Linked DNA regions of Diceros bicornis minor. Each later gene encodes a partner of the first gene's protein in a complex. Links are inferred from orthologs where the notes say so. Each region holds a gene or a part of one and is shown in the gene's direction. Other genes may lie near its edges.

The links. Proteins that work in one complex are often made in the same cells at the same time.
Region 2: CDK2AP2 (region 1) and MTA1 share a complex: the UniProt entries of both Homo sapiens proteins name them as parts of the nucleosome remodeling and deacetylase (NuRD) repressor complex. The link is inferred for Diceros bicornis minor from reciprocal best matches to the Homo sapiens genes CDK2AP2 and MTA1.

What each region holds. Positions count from the first base shown.
Region 1 is NC_080770.1:6,040,376-6,048,067, forward strand, and holds CDK2AP2 (cyclin-dependent kinase 2-associated protein 2), read left to right. Parts: upstream 1-5,064; 5' UTR 5,065-5,433; coding exon 5,434-5,515; intron 5,516-5,521; exon of another isoform or gene 5,522-5,657; intron 5,658-5,830; coding exon 5,831-5,931; intron 5,932-6,019; coding exon 6,020-6,152; intron 6,153-6,519; coding exon 6,520-6,587; 3' UTR 6,588-7,039; downstream 7,040-7,692. UniProt on the Homo sapiens protein: Acts as a component of the histone deacetylase NuRD complex which participates in the remodeling of chromatin.
Region 2 is NC_080763.1:49,835,563-49,843,771, forward strand, and holds the start of MTA1 (metastasis-associated protein MTA1), read left to right. Parts: upstream 1-4,819; 5' UTR 4,820-4,837; coding exon 4,838-4,877; intron 4,878-6,121; exon of another isoform or gene 6,122-6,136; coding exon of another isoform or gene 6,137-6,164; coding exon 6,165-6,232; intron 6,233-8,209. UniProt on the Homo sapiens protein: Transcriptional coregulator which can act as both a transcriptional corepressor and coactivator. Acts as a component of the histone deacetylase NuRD complex which participates in the remodeling of chromatin.

The sequences.
Region 1 (7,692 bases):
CATTTTCCAGATTGAGGAAAGCGAGGTCGCACAGATTTGCTAGAGGTCACACGACCCCCCTGCCACCTCTCCCCTCCAGTCCATGCAGCATGCACTGCCAGATTATTCTTCCTGAAATGCCACTTGTATTTTGTCACACTCCTGTTTAAGAACTGGCCATGATCCCCCATCGCCCCCAGGTTAATCCTGGCACCAGGAGGCTCCAGGAGGTTGAGAGACTGGCATAAAGTCACACACCACTAGGATGAAGAGGAGGTGGGACTTGCAGCCAGACGCAGGGCCTCTAAAATCACAGTGCCCGCAAGAGAAGGTGCCTCAGGGTCAGAGTGGACCCAGGACGGGCCGCAGCCTCTTCTAGCTACAGCAAAGGCCTGGTCCCCAGAGCACCGTCTGATCGGCCGCTGCTCCTGCCTGCTGGGAGGGGGGACGAGCCCTGACCTCCTGGCCAAGAAGAGGTGGGAGCTTTTAGCGCCCGTGCCCCGTCCTCACTCATCACTGCTGCCAACAAGATGGCCTAGGGACAGGGCAGGTGGGCAGCCCCCGGGCCCTGCCCAGCCCAGAGACTGGACACCGAGGTGCCAGGGCTGGCTGCAGCCGCCTCAGCATCACTCGCCTGGCAGATCCCACTTAATCCTTAATCCTCAATTAGGTGAGCTCTCCTGCCAGTCGGGCTGGGATGAGGAGGGGTTGCTCCAGCCCTGCAGCTTCTCTGGGAGCCACGGCCCAGTCTCCCTCCCACCGCCCTCCATCGGCTGGCACAGATGGCATTGCTGCCTGAAAAGATGTCTGTCCCCTCTGCAGGGGTTGGGGGCTAGTGATGGATGCGTGCTAGGGGAAGACCAGAACCCCACTCAGGGTCAGCCTCCTACACCCCCTGGCCCCAGCCTGGCAGGCTCTGTGGTTGGGGTGGAGGGGAGGGCAGTTAGTGGGATGGTCATAATTGGCTGCAGTGTGTCCACTGGCACCAGAAGTGCCCACAGCTCCCCCAAACCTCACGAATGCCCTCCTACCCCAAAAGCCTTCTAGCCCAGAAGGTCCCGACACACGACAGCTGGAGCGGGGACCAGGGCCGGGAAGAAACAGCGGGCAGGCAGAGATTGCACTGAGCCAAGAGCCCCTTTCCCACCTAAAGGGGGCACCTGCCGCCCACCTCCATTGACTGTTGCCATTTGGAGCAGGCTGGAACTACAAGATCTTCTGATTTTCCAAGAGAAGCTGTAAATTCAGATTTTTACATTAAGTCCACTTGAAATAGTTTGAGTATAATATACATTCAGTAAGGTGTATAAATCTTAAGTGCACAGCTCAATGAATTTTTACAAGTACACGCACCCAGGTAACTGTCACCCAGATCAACATATTACATCCACTTATCTTATTTTAGAACAGTTCTAGGTTTACAGAATCATTTCAAAGATAGTACAGGGAGCTCCTGTATACTCCACACCCAGCTTCTCCTGTGTGTTAGTCAAGGCTCTCCAGAGAAACAGACCCAATGAATGTGTGTGTGTCTGTGTGTATATGTGTGTGTGTAAAGATATTTATTGTAAGGAATTGGCTCAGGTGATTCTGGGTGCTGAGCAGTCCCACGATCTGCAGTCAGCAACCTACAGACCCAGGAGAGCTGGTGATATAGTTCCAGTCTGAGCCCAAAGACCTGAGAACCAGGAAAGTTGGTGGCATAGGTTCCAGTCTGAGGGCAGGAGAAGACTGATGTCGCAGCTCAACAGTCAGCCAGGCGAAGTTCCCTCTTACACAGCCTTTTTATCCCCTTCAGGTCTTCAACTGATTGGATGAGGCCCACCCACACTGGGAAGGGCAATCTGCTTTACTTTGTCCACCAGTTCAGTGGATGTTAATCTCATCCAGAAACACCCTCACGGACACACCTGGAATGATGTTTGACCACATGTCTGGGCACTCTGTGACCCAGCCAAGTTGACATAAAATTAACCATCACATGAGGGAGAAGTGAGAGTGGCTTCAATGAGACCAGTTGTTGCTGCTATGCTCCCAGTGTCTAAAACACACTGGATGGTCGTGCTGGTTCACATCTTACATTAGAATTGTACATTTGTCACAGTTAACGGACTAACACTGACACACTATTATTAACTAAAGTCCACATTTTATGCAGATTCCATCAGTTTTCCCCTGCTTATCCTTCTTCTGTTCCAGAATGCCCCCCAGGACGCCACATCACATTAGGCATCGTGTGTCCTTAGGCTCCTCTTGGTTGTGATGGTTTCTCAGACTTTCCTTGTTTTTTAATGATCCTGACAGTTTTGAGGAGGACTGGTCAGGTATTTGTAGCATGTCCCTCAACTGGGATTTGTCTGATGTTTTTCTCATGATTAGTCCGGGATTATGGATTTGGGGGAGGAAAACCACGGAGGTAAAGTGCCCTTCTCATCGCGTCATATCAAGGGTGCATGCTATCAACATGATCTCGCCATTGATGTTGACCTTGACCACCTGGCCTGAGGTCGTGTTTGTCAGGGGTCTGTCCTGTAAAATTACTCTTTCTCTCTCTCCTGTTACATACTACACTCTTCGGAAGGAAGTCGCTATGCACAGCCCACACTTAAGGGGTGAGAGGTTATAATCCTCATTAATGGCAGAGTAGCTACATCAATTACTTGCAATTATTCCCTGCAGGAGATTTCTCTCTTCTCCCGCATTTATTTATTTATTCAGTCAGTCATTTATTTTTATCTGCATGGGCTCATAGATATTTATTTTATACAAGTTATAATTCAACACTATTTTATTTATTTTGTTCAAATTGCTGCAGCCTTGGTCAGTGGGAGCGCTTGCAGTTGTTCCTGTGTCCCTTTGCCATACCCCCAGCACCTAGGGGGTTTGGGGATTTGGGGTTTTTTTAGGTTTTTTTCTTTAGCATTTTCTTACCCTTGGCACTACAAGATGCTTCAAGAGCATCTTGTATATGTCCTGCCCCAGTCCTAGAATCAGCCATTTCTCCGAGGAACTCTAGTTCATTTTATTGGAGAATGGTATTAGAAACCAAGATCTGGGTGCAAGGTTGCTTCTAGGACTTTCAGCTGATAGAGTGAGGAGATATGTGTATATACTAACCTACGTATATATACCTTTTTAAATATTTCTGTATGCAACCAAACTGTATCTACATTAAGCTAAACATGAGTTCATATTGATGTCTCCAACTCCAATCCATTACCACATGGATCATTCTAGCCTCCTCCCCTTGCTTACCTGTAACTTCTTATTCCAACAGTGAGAAATCATCCACCCTACGTTTACTTAATTTTCAATTCCTGTGCACATGCGCAGTGGTTTCAGCATTGTTACCCCCACCCCCACCGGAGCCACTTCATCAACTAGAGTACAGTGCTCTGTGCAGTCCCTTTTGTCTTTATTCTTACAGACTCCAGCCACTTCCAGATTCCCACCTTATTCCTCCACTCCCTTCAGTGAAGCCGTTTCATATATTTGTAATACAGCTAGATTCTTTTGTCATAGTCTGCATTCCATCCTGGGATCCCCTGGCCTCCTAAATGATTTTTTAAATTTGCAAACATTAAAGTTTACTCTTTGACAAATGCTTATGTCTTGTATTCACCCTTACAGTATCATACAGAATAGTTTCACCACCCTAAAGAAAATCTCCTATGCTTCACCTATTCAATTCTATCCCTTACACCCCAGGCAACCAGTAATTGTTTACCTTCTGTGTAAGTTTGCCTTTTCCAGAATGCCATACAATTGGAATCATACAGTATGGGGCTTTTTCAGACTGGCTTCTTTCACTTAGCAATATGCCTATCTGTGTCTTTTCATGGCTGGATAAATGATTTCCTTTTATTGCCGAACAATAGTCCATTATATGGATATATCACAGTTTGTCCATTCACCTATTGAAGGCCACCTCCTCTGGGAACACTTCTGTGATGTCACCAGGGAGTCCCTTCGTCTGAGTTCCAATGCACTGTCCCAGTCTCCACATTGTCTTACTGTGCTGTGTACGGGAAGCCGTTGCTTCCCTGCCTTTCTCTCCTTGAGACTAGGAGCTCCTTGAGGACAGAGGCCATGCCAGTTCACTTCGGTATCATCAGTGTCCAGCCTGGGATGGAGGATGGAGTCAGAAAATGTTTGTTGGATGAATGAATGAATAAATGTCCTGGGGATGAGGATAATCTACAGACCTGGGGGCATGAAGGATACACAAGGCTAGAGAGGTTTGGGGGAGAAGTAGCCTGGGAGAAAGGATTAGTGTTTGGAGCAGAGTCTAAGATCTAGAGTTGTGAGGAATGAGATTTGAGGGGAGGGGTCTGGGTGGAGAAACGGATAGGAAAGAGGAGAATGAAACAATAAGCCCTTTATGAATATTCATTTAACCCACACAACAGCCCTGTGAGATAGTTATTAGCGTCCCCATCTTACAGATGGGGAAACCGAGGCACATCGAGATGAGTAACTTGTCCAGGAGGAAATCGCTGGTGGGGGTGGTGTGAGATTCGTACCCTCAGTCCGACTCCGGTCGGTGCTCCTGTCCATGATCCGTTTGGTACAGGGCCCGGCGTGCAGTCAGTAATCAACGAAGGTCAGCTGTTCCTGCTACGGTCATTGCGAGGCACGGGCGTGGGGCCGTGGTGGGGGGGCAGGTTGCGGTCTTCGAGGTCGCCCCTGGACCTAACAGCAGCCTATGAGGATAAGGCAATTGGGAGCAAGAGGCGCGGCGGTAGCGTTGGTGAGGGTCCCGTTGCCATGGGAACAAACGACGGCTTCATGACAGCGCATGCGCGGATCGGGGACCGGGTGTCGCACCGGTGAAAGGTGACGTAAAAGCGCACGGGGTGGAGCGCAGGGCTCGGAACGTCAAAGCCCTGCGTCCTCCGCCACCCGGAGCGGAGGGAAGGCGCGCTCGGCTGTGTCGGCAGCGACAGCAGCCCCAGCTGGACCGAGACCGGGCGGCGCGAAGCTGACGTACGGAGCAGCGCGAGTGAAGCGTGAGGGTGGCGCCGGCGCCCGGGAAGACCTTCTCGGCGCGGACCGGGCGGACCAGACCCTGGTCCGGGCTGCCGAGGCCCCGCCTCTCGGGTCTTGAGACTAATCGGATTGAGAGCGCGCCGGCCCGGGCCGCGAACTCGCCAATTGCCGAGGGCGTCGGCCACCGCCCAATCCGGAGCAGACAGGTGCGAGGTCCGGAAGGCGGAGACCAATCAGCAGCGATTGCGGCATGCTGGGGCCGGTCTCGGCCAATGAGGAGGCCCGAGTGACACCTCCGTGAGCCAATCGGGAGTGAGGGAGCGTTCGTGGCCGCCCGCCCTTCCGGCCTGAGCTGTATTTACCAGGGGCGTGCAGCCGGTTTACCAATCAGAGTGCGGCTGAGCGGCCAGGCAGCCAACCCCGGAGGAGCGGCCGGCCGGCGTCCGCCGCACCCAGGAGTTGGGGATGTCCTACAAACCCATCGCCCCCGCCCCCAGCAGCACCCCCGGCTCCAGCACCCCTGGGCCCGGCACCCCGGTTCCTACAGGTGAGGACCCAGCTCCACCCCTGCTCGCCTGCCCGGGCGGTCGAGGTCTGGAAGAGAAGACGGCCTGAGTTCTGCAATACTGGGCCTGCCGCCTACCTTCGCTGAGCCTCAGTTTGCTGGCCTGGGAAGTGGGCGTCGTCACGTAAGGGCTTGTTGGTGGAGCGCAGGGGGGAGGGATTTGTCCCTGAAGTTGAGCAGCCTGGAATGAAGCATCTCTTTGGAGGGAATCGGGCGAGTCCGGTCGGGGGCTTGGAACGCTGGGAGGAGGTGTCCCTGCCCCGCACTGACTTCGTAAATTACTCGCGCATGTTGCAGCTGGGAGTGTCCCATCGCCGTCGGGCTCGGTGCCGGGAGCCGCTGCCCCTTTCAGACCACTGTTTAACGACTTTGGACCGCCTTCCATGGGCTATGTGCAGGTGAGTGAGGCCGAGGGACTGCCTGTGGATGGGGACTGGAGGCCCCCTCGGGACCTGAGCTCACTGCCCTGTTCCTCTTTTGACACAGGCAATGAAGCCACCTGGCGCCCAGGGCTCCCAGAGCACCTACACAGACCTGCTGTCGGTCATAGAGGAGATGGGCAAAGAGATCCGGCCCACCTATGCTGGCAGCAAGAGCGCCATGGAGCGCCTGAAGAGAGGTAAGTGAGGCCACGCCCACCCCCGCTGCCCAGGAGACTCACACTGGACACTCCTTCATTAGGAAAGGAAGAACATCTGGGGGCCACCAGAGCCAAGCCTAGACCAGGGCCAGTATCAGTCTCCAGAGAGGCATTTTGAATTGAATTGAAATTGAGTCGATTTCCAGGGAAGGACCAGGGAATTTGTATTTCAACAGGGCAAGTTTGAGGATTAGCCAAACCTCTAATCTCATCCAGCTCCTCTTTAGATTATCATCCCTCTTACTGAAAGGAAAGGGGGTGCAGAGAGAAGGGTCTTCCTTTGGAGGGTGGGGGCGGGACTGTGGAGATCAAGACCCTGGATGTTACTTATGCATCCCCACCCCAGGCATCATCCATGCCCGGGCCCTAGTCAGAGAGTGCCTGGCAGAGACAGAGCGGAACGCCCGCACGTAACAGGACGCACCTCCACCTCGGCATCTGGACCTTTCCCGGCCACTGCAGAGCGCCTCCTTCTCCCTGGCCTTCACCCCGAGATGCACTTCCCATCCTGGGCTTCCTGTCCTGTGTCCCTTGGTGGGCGTCCTCCAGGAACCAGGGGGCAGCTCTCACTCCAGTTGGCAGCACTAAGTGGGACCCCCACAAGAGTTAGCAGCGAGGTCACCGTGAGTTTCACCCATGACCTGCCAACAGTGTTGATCCCACTGGAGCCTTCTCCCTTCTGGGGCCCCCATCACTCAGCACTTGCCCAGGACTCCCCACTTCTCCTAGACCCCTTCTCTCCCAGCAGGGCCTCGAAAGGCCTGTCACCTCCCTGCCTTGTCTCCTGGGCCATAGTGATTCTTTTCTCAGTGTGTCTTTTGCTAAATATCCCCTTTTTGTATAAATAAAAGATAATTTGGAGTTGTTTTCTCAGCTCATAATCCTTGAGTCTGGTGCTTCTGCTAAGCCCAGGTGGGCTTTGAAGAAAGAGGGCAAGAGGAGACCCGGAGAGGGGGAAGGGGCAGTGCAGTGGGTGGGAGTGAGGCTGGCTGAGTTAGCCTTGCCCCTGCTGTCCATTGACCTTGGGTGGGACCGTGCCCTTCTCTGGCCCTCAGCCTTCCCAGCTGGAAGTAGTGGAAAGAGTTGAGCTCCAGTAGCTCAGAGCCCTGCCTGCCTGCACGTGGTGTCACCAGGGGGCAGTGCAGGGCCTTGGCTGCCTCCACAGCTGGCGGGCACTGTCACCAGCCTGGGCCTAGATCCTCTGGATTGGCCTTGATGCCTGGCAGGGTGGAAAAGCCTTTTCACTTAAGCTATGTCCTCATGTGCCTTAATGCCCCAGCATCCTAAATTTGGAATCAGCCCTGGGAGGCTCTGAATACACACGGTCTCTGACTCCTTAGAGAGGGGAGGGGGCGCTGGTGCTGCCCTCCCACCAGCACCTGGGAAGCAGAGCCAAAGGGAGAGGACTGGCTTCCAACATGGGTGAGACCCAGCTGGGTGCTGCCATCCTCTGTCCCAGCGCCTTCTAGCCGACTGGGTGTGGTCGCATGAGCCCAGCCCTCAGGTATCTCAGCCTTTG
Region 2 (8,209 bases), on another chromosome or scaffold:
CAAGAGGGTGTTTCTGGAAGAGATTAGCATTTTAATCAGTAGACTAAGTAAAGAGGATCTGCCCTCCCCATTGTGGGCGGACATCATCCAATCCATTGAGGGCTGGAATAGAACAAAAAGGCTGAGGAGGGGTGAATTCTTGCTCTCTCTTTTTGAGCTGGGATGTCCATCTTCTCCTGTCCTCAGACATTGGAGCTCCTGGTTCTCGAGCCTTCGGACTCTGGGACTTACACCTGCAGCCCTTGGGTCTCCAGCTTGCAGACAGCAGATTGTGGGACTTCTCAGCCTCCATAACCACACGAGCCAGTCCTTATAATAAACATATGTGTGTGTACACACACACACACACACACACACACACACATATGCATACATCTCTCCAGTTGGTTCTGTTTCTCTGGAGAACCCTGGCTAATACAGATGTGTTATAAATGATGGTGATAAAATGTATGGAGCAGAAACGGGCTTGGTTGGACAAATTTACAAAGCTTGTTAAAATGTAAGGTGCTTAAAGCCTACAGTTACTCGTATTCCTTGTCAGCGGGTACTTTGTGGACAATATTTGAATCTGTCATGTCTTATGGAACCAGTTGGGTCAACAGTGAACTTCTTTTGACCTCGTGGACTTAACTATCATTAGTTCTGTGAATTTTTATCAGATATACAAGCTGAATATCTTGACTTGCCCTACCATACAGCAGCTTGATGGTGTAGCAATAGTTAAATTTTACTGTAATTTCTTAAACTCGGTGGAAATAGAAATTTTTCGGAATGAGAAGAACCACTCTCAACCACCATTATCAAACACGGAATGCCTTTGGAAATTAGTTTTTGCTGCATACTTGATAACGATCCTTCATGAATTCATCTGAAAATTGCATAAAATAGCAGTTAATGCAAAACTTATACTGTGGTAAAGTCATTTTGGTGACAACAAATGTCTGAGTCACAAACTTGCTTTATACAGTTTCCTTACTGTCAAAAGTCAAAACGAGAAATGCGACCTCCATTCCGGCCAGATTTGCAGCAGGCGTATTTCCTGAGCTCAAACTACAGTTCCAGCAGTGCTTCCTGGACCTCAGTGCAAGTGCAAAGGAAATTTCTGTATTTCAAAATGCATTTAACAGTGTTGAGGAGCTCCCACCCAACCTTCATTTGAGAGTGATTGATCTGTAATGCAATTGCATGCTACAGTTCATGGTCCCCAGGACCATCCTCAAGTTCAATAATTTGCTGGAAGGACTCACAGAACTCAGCAAAGCAATTATACTCATGGTTACAGTTTATTACAACAAAAGGGTACAGACCCAAATCAGCAAAAGTAAGAAGCACGGAGGTCAGTGTCCAGGAGAGACCAGTTGCAAGCTTCCAGTTGGCCTCGCCCGGTGGAGTTGTGGACGGTGCATAATTCTCTCAGCCACCATGAGTGACAGTATACACGAAGTTTGCTTACCTGAGCCTCAGGGTCCAGGTTGTTTATCTCAGGTTGGTCACATAGTCGTGGCTGACCATCTGTGGCTGGCCTTAGTTGCCCAGTCTCTAGCCCTCCAGAGGTTATGTCCCCTGGTCAGCAGAGACTCTTATCAGGCAGGACACTCCAAGGGCTTTGAGGTTACCTCCCAGGAGCAGGTCAAGGGCCAAACCTTACTTTGGAAGGTGCAGAGTGTGGACAACCCAGGCCAGTTGAATTAACCCTTTACTGCACATAGGCTAAAAGGAAAATGTCCAGAGAAAAATCTAATGGAGTTCAGTAAATACCTTCCAAGTGATGAGTATGCTCCATTAAAACTGTATACCTGTAGTTAGATACCAGTATTTGGCAGCACCCATCTGCGTGGAAAGACGTTCACGGATGAAACACATGAGATCGCATCACAGATCAGCATGCACAGGGGAGCATTTCCCATTGATTTTGATGACAGCCAATGCTAACTTTGAACTCCAAGGAAGCAAAATGTCCTCCCCCCAGAACAGGATTCAGTTCTTATTAGTAGACCCATATTATTAGACACCTTTACTTGATTATTATTGTTTTAATTTAATTTCATCAGTAAAAAGTTTGTGGCAATGTGTTGTATTAGTACCTACATGGTATCCTTGGTAAAGTATTTACCATCTGGCCCTTTACCGAAAAGGTTTGACAACCTGTGTTCTAATCCATGGTACCTTATGTTACTGTTTATTGAGATCTTCATTGATTTTTCTGACCAGTGTTTTGTAATTTCCAGCATATAGGTCTTTGCACAGAACTTTTGATCTTTAAAGATCTGTGGACCATTTGTAAACTGATGCTTAAGTGTGGGATGTGTCTTGGAGCTATTGTAAATGGTACTTTTTATATACTATTTTAGTATCCTATGAGCTTGCTGAATCCTTACTCTTTAGTTTTAATAGCTTTTTTTGTAGACTGAGAAGTTCTGTGTAGACAGCCATGTTATCTGCTTGTAGAAAGTTTTGCCTGTTCCTTTCCAATCTGCATGCTGTTCATTTCCTTGTTTATTTCTCCTCCTTGCACTGACTGGGACTTCTAGGTGAACAGCAGTGGAGACAGTCGACATATTTGCCTTCTCCTGATTTTAGGGGGAAGTGTTTCATCATTAAGTGTGACGTTAGCTGTAGGTTTTTTGTAAATGCCTTCTATCAGGTTGAGGAAGTTCCCTTTAATTCCTGGTTTGCTTAAGAGTTTGTATCAGGGGGCCAGCCCCGTGGCGTAGCGGTTAAGTGCGCGCGCTCCACTACTGGCAGCCCGGGGTTCAGATCCCGGGTGCGCACCAACATGCTGCTTCTCTGGCCATGCTGAGGCTGAGTCCCACATACAGCAACTAGAAGGATGTGCACCTATGACGTACAACTATCTACTGGGGCTTTGCGGGGGGGGGGAAGAGTTTGTATCAGGAATATGTGTTGGATTTTGTCAGATCTTCTCCAGTGTCTATTGAGACGGTCATGGTTCTTTAGTCTGTTGACGTGATTTTCAGTGTTGAACCAACCTTGTATTCCTGGATGAATCCAGGGGTGGAGATTTATTATCCTTTTTTATATGTTACTAGCTTCGATTTGCTAATGTTTTGTTGAGAAGTTTTGCATCTGTGTTCATGAGGGGCGTTGGTCTGTGGGTTTCTGGTGACATCTTTGGTTGCGGTGTCGGTGTGATGCTGGCCTCGTGAGCCAGTCGGGGAGTGTTCCCTCCCCTTCTGCCTTTGGGAGGGTTGGTGTAGACTTGGTGTTAAATCTTTCTTAAATGCTTGGTAGGATTGCCCAGTGAAGCCATCTGGGCCCGGAGGTTTTTTTGTGTCTTTCTTTTTCTTTTTGGTTGTTGTTGGGAGGTTTTAGTGTATGAATCAGCTTCCCTGCTCGGTGTGGGGTGGCCTGTTTCTTCCTGGGTGAGCTTTGGTCCTTCATGTCTTGCAAGCACTTGGTCCATTTCATCCACGTTGTCAGATTGACTGGTAAAGCTGTCTGTACGTCCCTTCCTGCCCTTCTCACGGCAGCAGGATGTGCAGTGATGTCCCCTCTCGCATTCCTGGTGTTGGTTATGTGTGGCTTCTCTCTTTTCCTTATCAGCCTGACCTGAAATTCGTCGATTGATTGTTTCAGTGAGCAGCTTTGGTCCCATTAATTTGTCACCACTGCGTTTTACTCACCTTCGTTTTTTCTTTTTTTGCTGAGGAAGGTTCAAGTGGTGTAGGTCCATGCCTGGAAATCAAACCCGGGCCGCCAAAGCGGAGCAAGCCGATCTTAACCACTAGGCCACGGGGCTGGCCCTGGCCTTGGTTTTTGCTGGTTATGATTTCCTTCTGGCTTGTTTGTTTTCCCATTTACAGAAACGCAATTGGCATACAGTAAAGCCCTCTCCTTGTAAGTGTGCAGTTCTGTGAGTTTTGGGAAATGTCTACAGTCATGAGACAGCCCAGTTCCTGTCTCCAAGCCCTGCAGGCCCGAGTGGTCACCCCTCCTGCCACCTGCAGCCGCTGGCCTCTTCTCTGCCCTCTGGCTTTCCTGGGCAGGCACTGCGCCACCCGCAGCCCAGGAGAGCACCCTCGAGTGTCATCCGAGCACAGTGTGACCAGCAGGACTTCAGCTGGCACTGCCAAGGAGGCAGCCATTGGACGGACGGACCCGCTGCTGGTCTGTCTGCTCCCCACTTGAGGGGAACATTTGGGTTGTTTGCAGTTTTTGGCACATATGAATAATTATTTGAGGTTTAATTTGCTCTTTATGTAGTTTCTTAGAATGAAAGCTTAGATGATTGATTTGAGATCTTTTTATAAAAACCACTTTATTGAGATAATTTTCATTTGATAAAATTCACCCATTTTGCTTGTACAGTTCAATGAGTTTTAGTATTTTCATGAGTTGTACAGCATCACCACAATCTAAATTCAGAACATTCCCATCACCCTAAAACAAACCTCGTGCCCATCGACAGTCATCTTCTGTAGACGCCTTTGTTTTCAGCTGACCTCTGAACATGGCCCGCTGAGGGCTGCGGCTAGGCTCACTCTGGGTGTTTAGTCTCGTTGCTCTTTTGTTCCGTGGAGCTCCCTGAGGGCGCAGCATGTCTGATCTACCCGTGTCCTCAGGGCAGCACAGGTGAGCCCGGGGAGTAACGTTCACAGATGTGTGCCCCCTAGGTGCGTGCCTGCAGGTGCATCCTCACAGGTGTGCACCCGTAAGTGTGTCCCTACAGGTGTATCCTCACAACCTTGTGCACCCACAGGTGTGAACCTGCAGGTGCATCCTCACAGGTGTGTCCTCACAGGTGTGTCCTCACAGGTGTGTGCCCCATGGATGTGTCCCCACAGGTGTATCCTCACAGGTGCGTGCACCCACAGATATGAGCCTGCAGGTGTGTCCTCATAGGTGTGTACCTGCAGGTGCGTGTCGACAGCAGGAGGCAGATGCTTTTTCAGACCCCTCCACAGGGTCCAGGCAGCACAGGTGGGACCTCCCATGTGGACAGGGCTGAGCTGGCTCCTTCGGCATTTGCTGGTCTTACTGCAGTTTGCCAAATCTGTGCCCAGTTGTGGGCATTTGGGCCATATCCAGGCTTTAACTGAATTCCAGCTAAGAGGAGCCTCCTGGTTGGCCGTCTCCTGCAGGGCTGGCCCAGCCTGCGACTGCAGGCCTCCTCCATGGGTGGGGAGGGACGTGGTGAAGAAGGCCTTCGCATTCCTGGTGCAGGTTGGCAGGGACAATGGCTTGGCCTGCTCCTGGAGCTGAGCCTCCCCTGAGCTGCTCCAGTATGCCTGGAGCATAAAGGCGTCGGCTGGGCAAGCCAGGCTGGCAGGTGGGTGGCCTCGTGGCTGTCCTGGGGTTTCCAGGGTGAGCCTCCTGACCTCCCACTGTGGACCTCTCAGAAATCTCGGGAGACTGCCAGCATCCCTAAGCCAGACCCTGACTCTCCCCCTATGGAGCCTGTGGGAAGCCAGAGAGCACATGTGGTTTGTCTGTGAGGAAAGTTTGTACTGACCTGATGGTCTAGGGGACCCATCAGGGTGCTGTCGGCACCCTTTGATCTCGCTCCTCTGGGAGACTGACAATGTCCCTGTGCTAGCAAGCTCTGCCTGGTTTCTGTCCTCCCTCTGCCCCGGAGGCCCAGCCTCCGTTCACTGCTTTTGTTTTTGGAGGGAAAGGTCGAGGGGCATGGGGGGATGTGCATGGAGTTGGGGGAGGAGACACAGGGATCCAGCAGCCCCCAGTGTGCTGGCATGGTCTCTGGCTGCAGCACTCTTGGGCTACCCTCCAGGCCAGCAGCAGCCTCCTGGGAAAGTGTCCCCAGGGGGAAGGTGTCCTAGGGGACAGTGTCCTCAGGGGGAGGCTGCAGCCTGGCCCCCATGGCCTCTCTTGGGAGGGACAGAGCTCCTGGTGTTGGGACCCACGGGATGGGGAGGGCTGCTGGCTCCTGCCTGGAGCGGCCCCCTCCTGCCTCGTCTCGGGCCCTTGCCCAGCACCCACTGATGTGGTTCTGGTTATGTCATCTCTCCCCTGAGACAGTGGGGCCTTCACCTCCTTCATTCCCTCCTGATCCCTAGCCCCCAGAACCGAGGGTACGAGGGAGTGGAGGGGGGTATTTGGGCTCCCCTGGGTCCCTGGGGCGGTGGGAAATTCTGAGTGTGGCAGGCTCTGCTGTGGGATGACGCTCTCTCTGTACCTGTTTGCAGACTATGTGTACTTCGAGAACTCCTCCAGCAACCCTTACCTGATCCGGAGAATCGAGGAGCTCAACAAGGTAGCGTGTGTGTGTGCGGTGTGCCTGGTGGTCCCGTCCCTGCCGGTTGCGGGGGCGGGGGGGGGCAGCGTGCCCCTGCCCTTCCTGCGGCTCTGCCTGGGGCCATCGTCACAGATGAGACAAAACACGCCCCCAGCCTCTGTGCCGTGTTTGCAGGGGACTTCTTGGGTTGGCCCCAGACTGGCCACTGTCTGCTCAGACCTTTGGGTGGCTTCGTCCCCAGGATCACCTGCCTAGACTGGGTGCTCCTCCTTGGAGAGCCCATTAGTGAGGTCCCTGGTGGCCTCACTTGAGGGACATGCTCAGGGGGTGCCTGAGCAGAACAGAAGTGCTCAGAAAGCGTCTGGATTGGACGATTCTGGAGACCAGCCAAAGAGCCAAGGAAGCGGCCTGGGCAACCATAGCCCGAGGGTGCCTGTGGGATCCATGTGCCTAGGGGTTCCCTGCTTGTCTCCTGTCTCCCTCCCTGCTTACTTGGGCCGCCCTCCTCCCCGTCACTCGTCAGGCACTTGCAAGTTGGTCAGGGAAGGGGGTTGTGCTGTACTGGAGGCTGGGTGAGCCCAGAGCCCACCTGGGGCCTGGGATGCAGTGGGAGTGGGCTGACGGGTTGCGAGCCCCGCTACTCCCCCATCTCTCGGATTCAGAATGGCCTCCGTCTTTGGTCAGAGCCTGTCGCATCCTCCTGGCCAGTGGGAATGAGCAGTCTCCCTCCGACCCAGAGGTGTGAGCTGCCTCCCCTCCTCTCCTGCTGGCCTCGTGGTTGGAGGTGTTCGTGGGTGGCGCTGGGGGAGAGGGCAGGCGTGTCCCTTCCTCGTCCGTGGACATGGCCACAACGATGCAGGGTCAGCGGAGCCCCTGGACCTGCAGCTCCTTCCTCCCTGGGCCTCTTCCCTTGATTCCTGCAGAGCAGCTACTGAGCTCCTCTCTGGAGCAGCCCCTCTCCCGGAAGCACCCGTTGTTACTTGTGCTGGCGAGGGGGCCCTTGCTGTGCCTCTGTGAAGCCAGCCCTCAAGAAGCTGCTTTCTTAGACCTCAGGCTTTGTGACAGTGTGGCTTGGGATTCTTGGGACCAGGCAGGATGGGGTGGGAAGGTCAAGTGCTGACCCACAAGGGTCAGACTTAGCTGCAGCTGAACCTGACCCCTTGGCCATGCTTGCCAAGGGCCTCTCCCTGTGGCATCTACCACCACCACCAGGACAAGGAGAGTCGGAGGGGTGCCTGTGTCCCAGCCTGAGCATGTCAGGCTGGTTGGAGTGATCTGGCAGCTCCTGGAAGTTCTGGGGCCAGATCTGGAGGTGGCAGGGGCAGGGGAAGCGACTGGGACATCCTGTGAGGCCACTGCACTGCCGGAGCTTATGCCTCTGCAGGCGCCTCGTTGGCGGGGCCCTGCTCCCAGCTTGCCCAAGCCACAGGGCCTGCGGGAGAATGGGCAGCTGGCCTCCTCAGCTGGAACAGGAGCAAATGGTCGCCCATCTGCACGTGCCGGCACACACTGACGTGGGGACATGAGGAAACAGGCACAGAGACTCCTCAGATGGCAGTGGAGCACGGTTGGAGGGGCTGGGTGTCCACACGTCCTCCAGGTCTCTGCAGTGACAGGTGGTGCTGGCAGGTGGGGCTGTGGCAGCTGGTCTTCCTGGGGCACAGGGCAGGCGGCACCCCAGGGCAGGGGCCATAGGTGCCCTTGGTGACAGGGCCTGCACAGCTCTTGCCCCTCACTCTGGCCATGACATGCAGAGGGCAGATCACACAGTCGGGGCTGTGGCGTCTGCCTGTGACAGCCACGTGTGTGACAGTAAGGTACGGACAGAGCACTGACCCACCACAGTGGTGGCAATGGCTGGTGCTGGTGTCTGAGCTCCTGCTCAGGGCCAAGGCCATGGCACCTCTGCATTTGTGTGCACTGTGGTCTCCCTGACAGACCAGGTCAGAGGGTAGGGCAGCTGAGGGACTTGCCCGAGGTCCTGCCCCCAGCAGG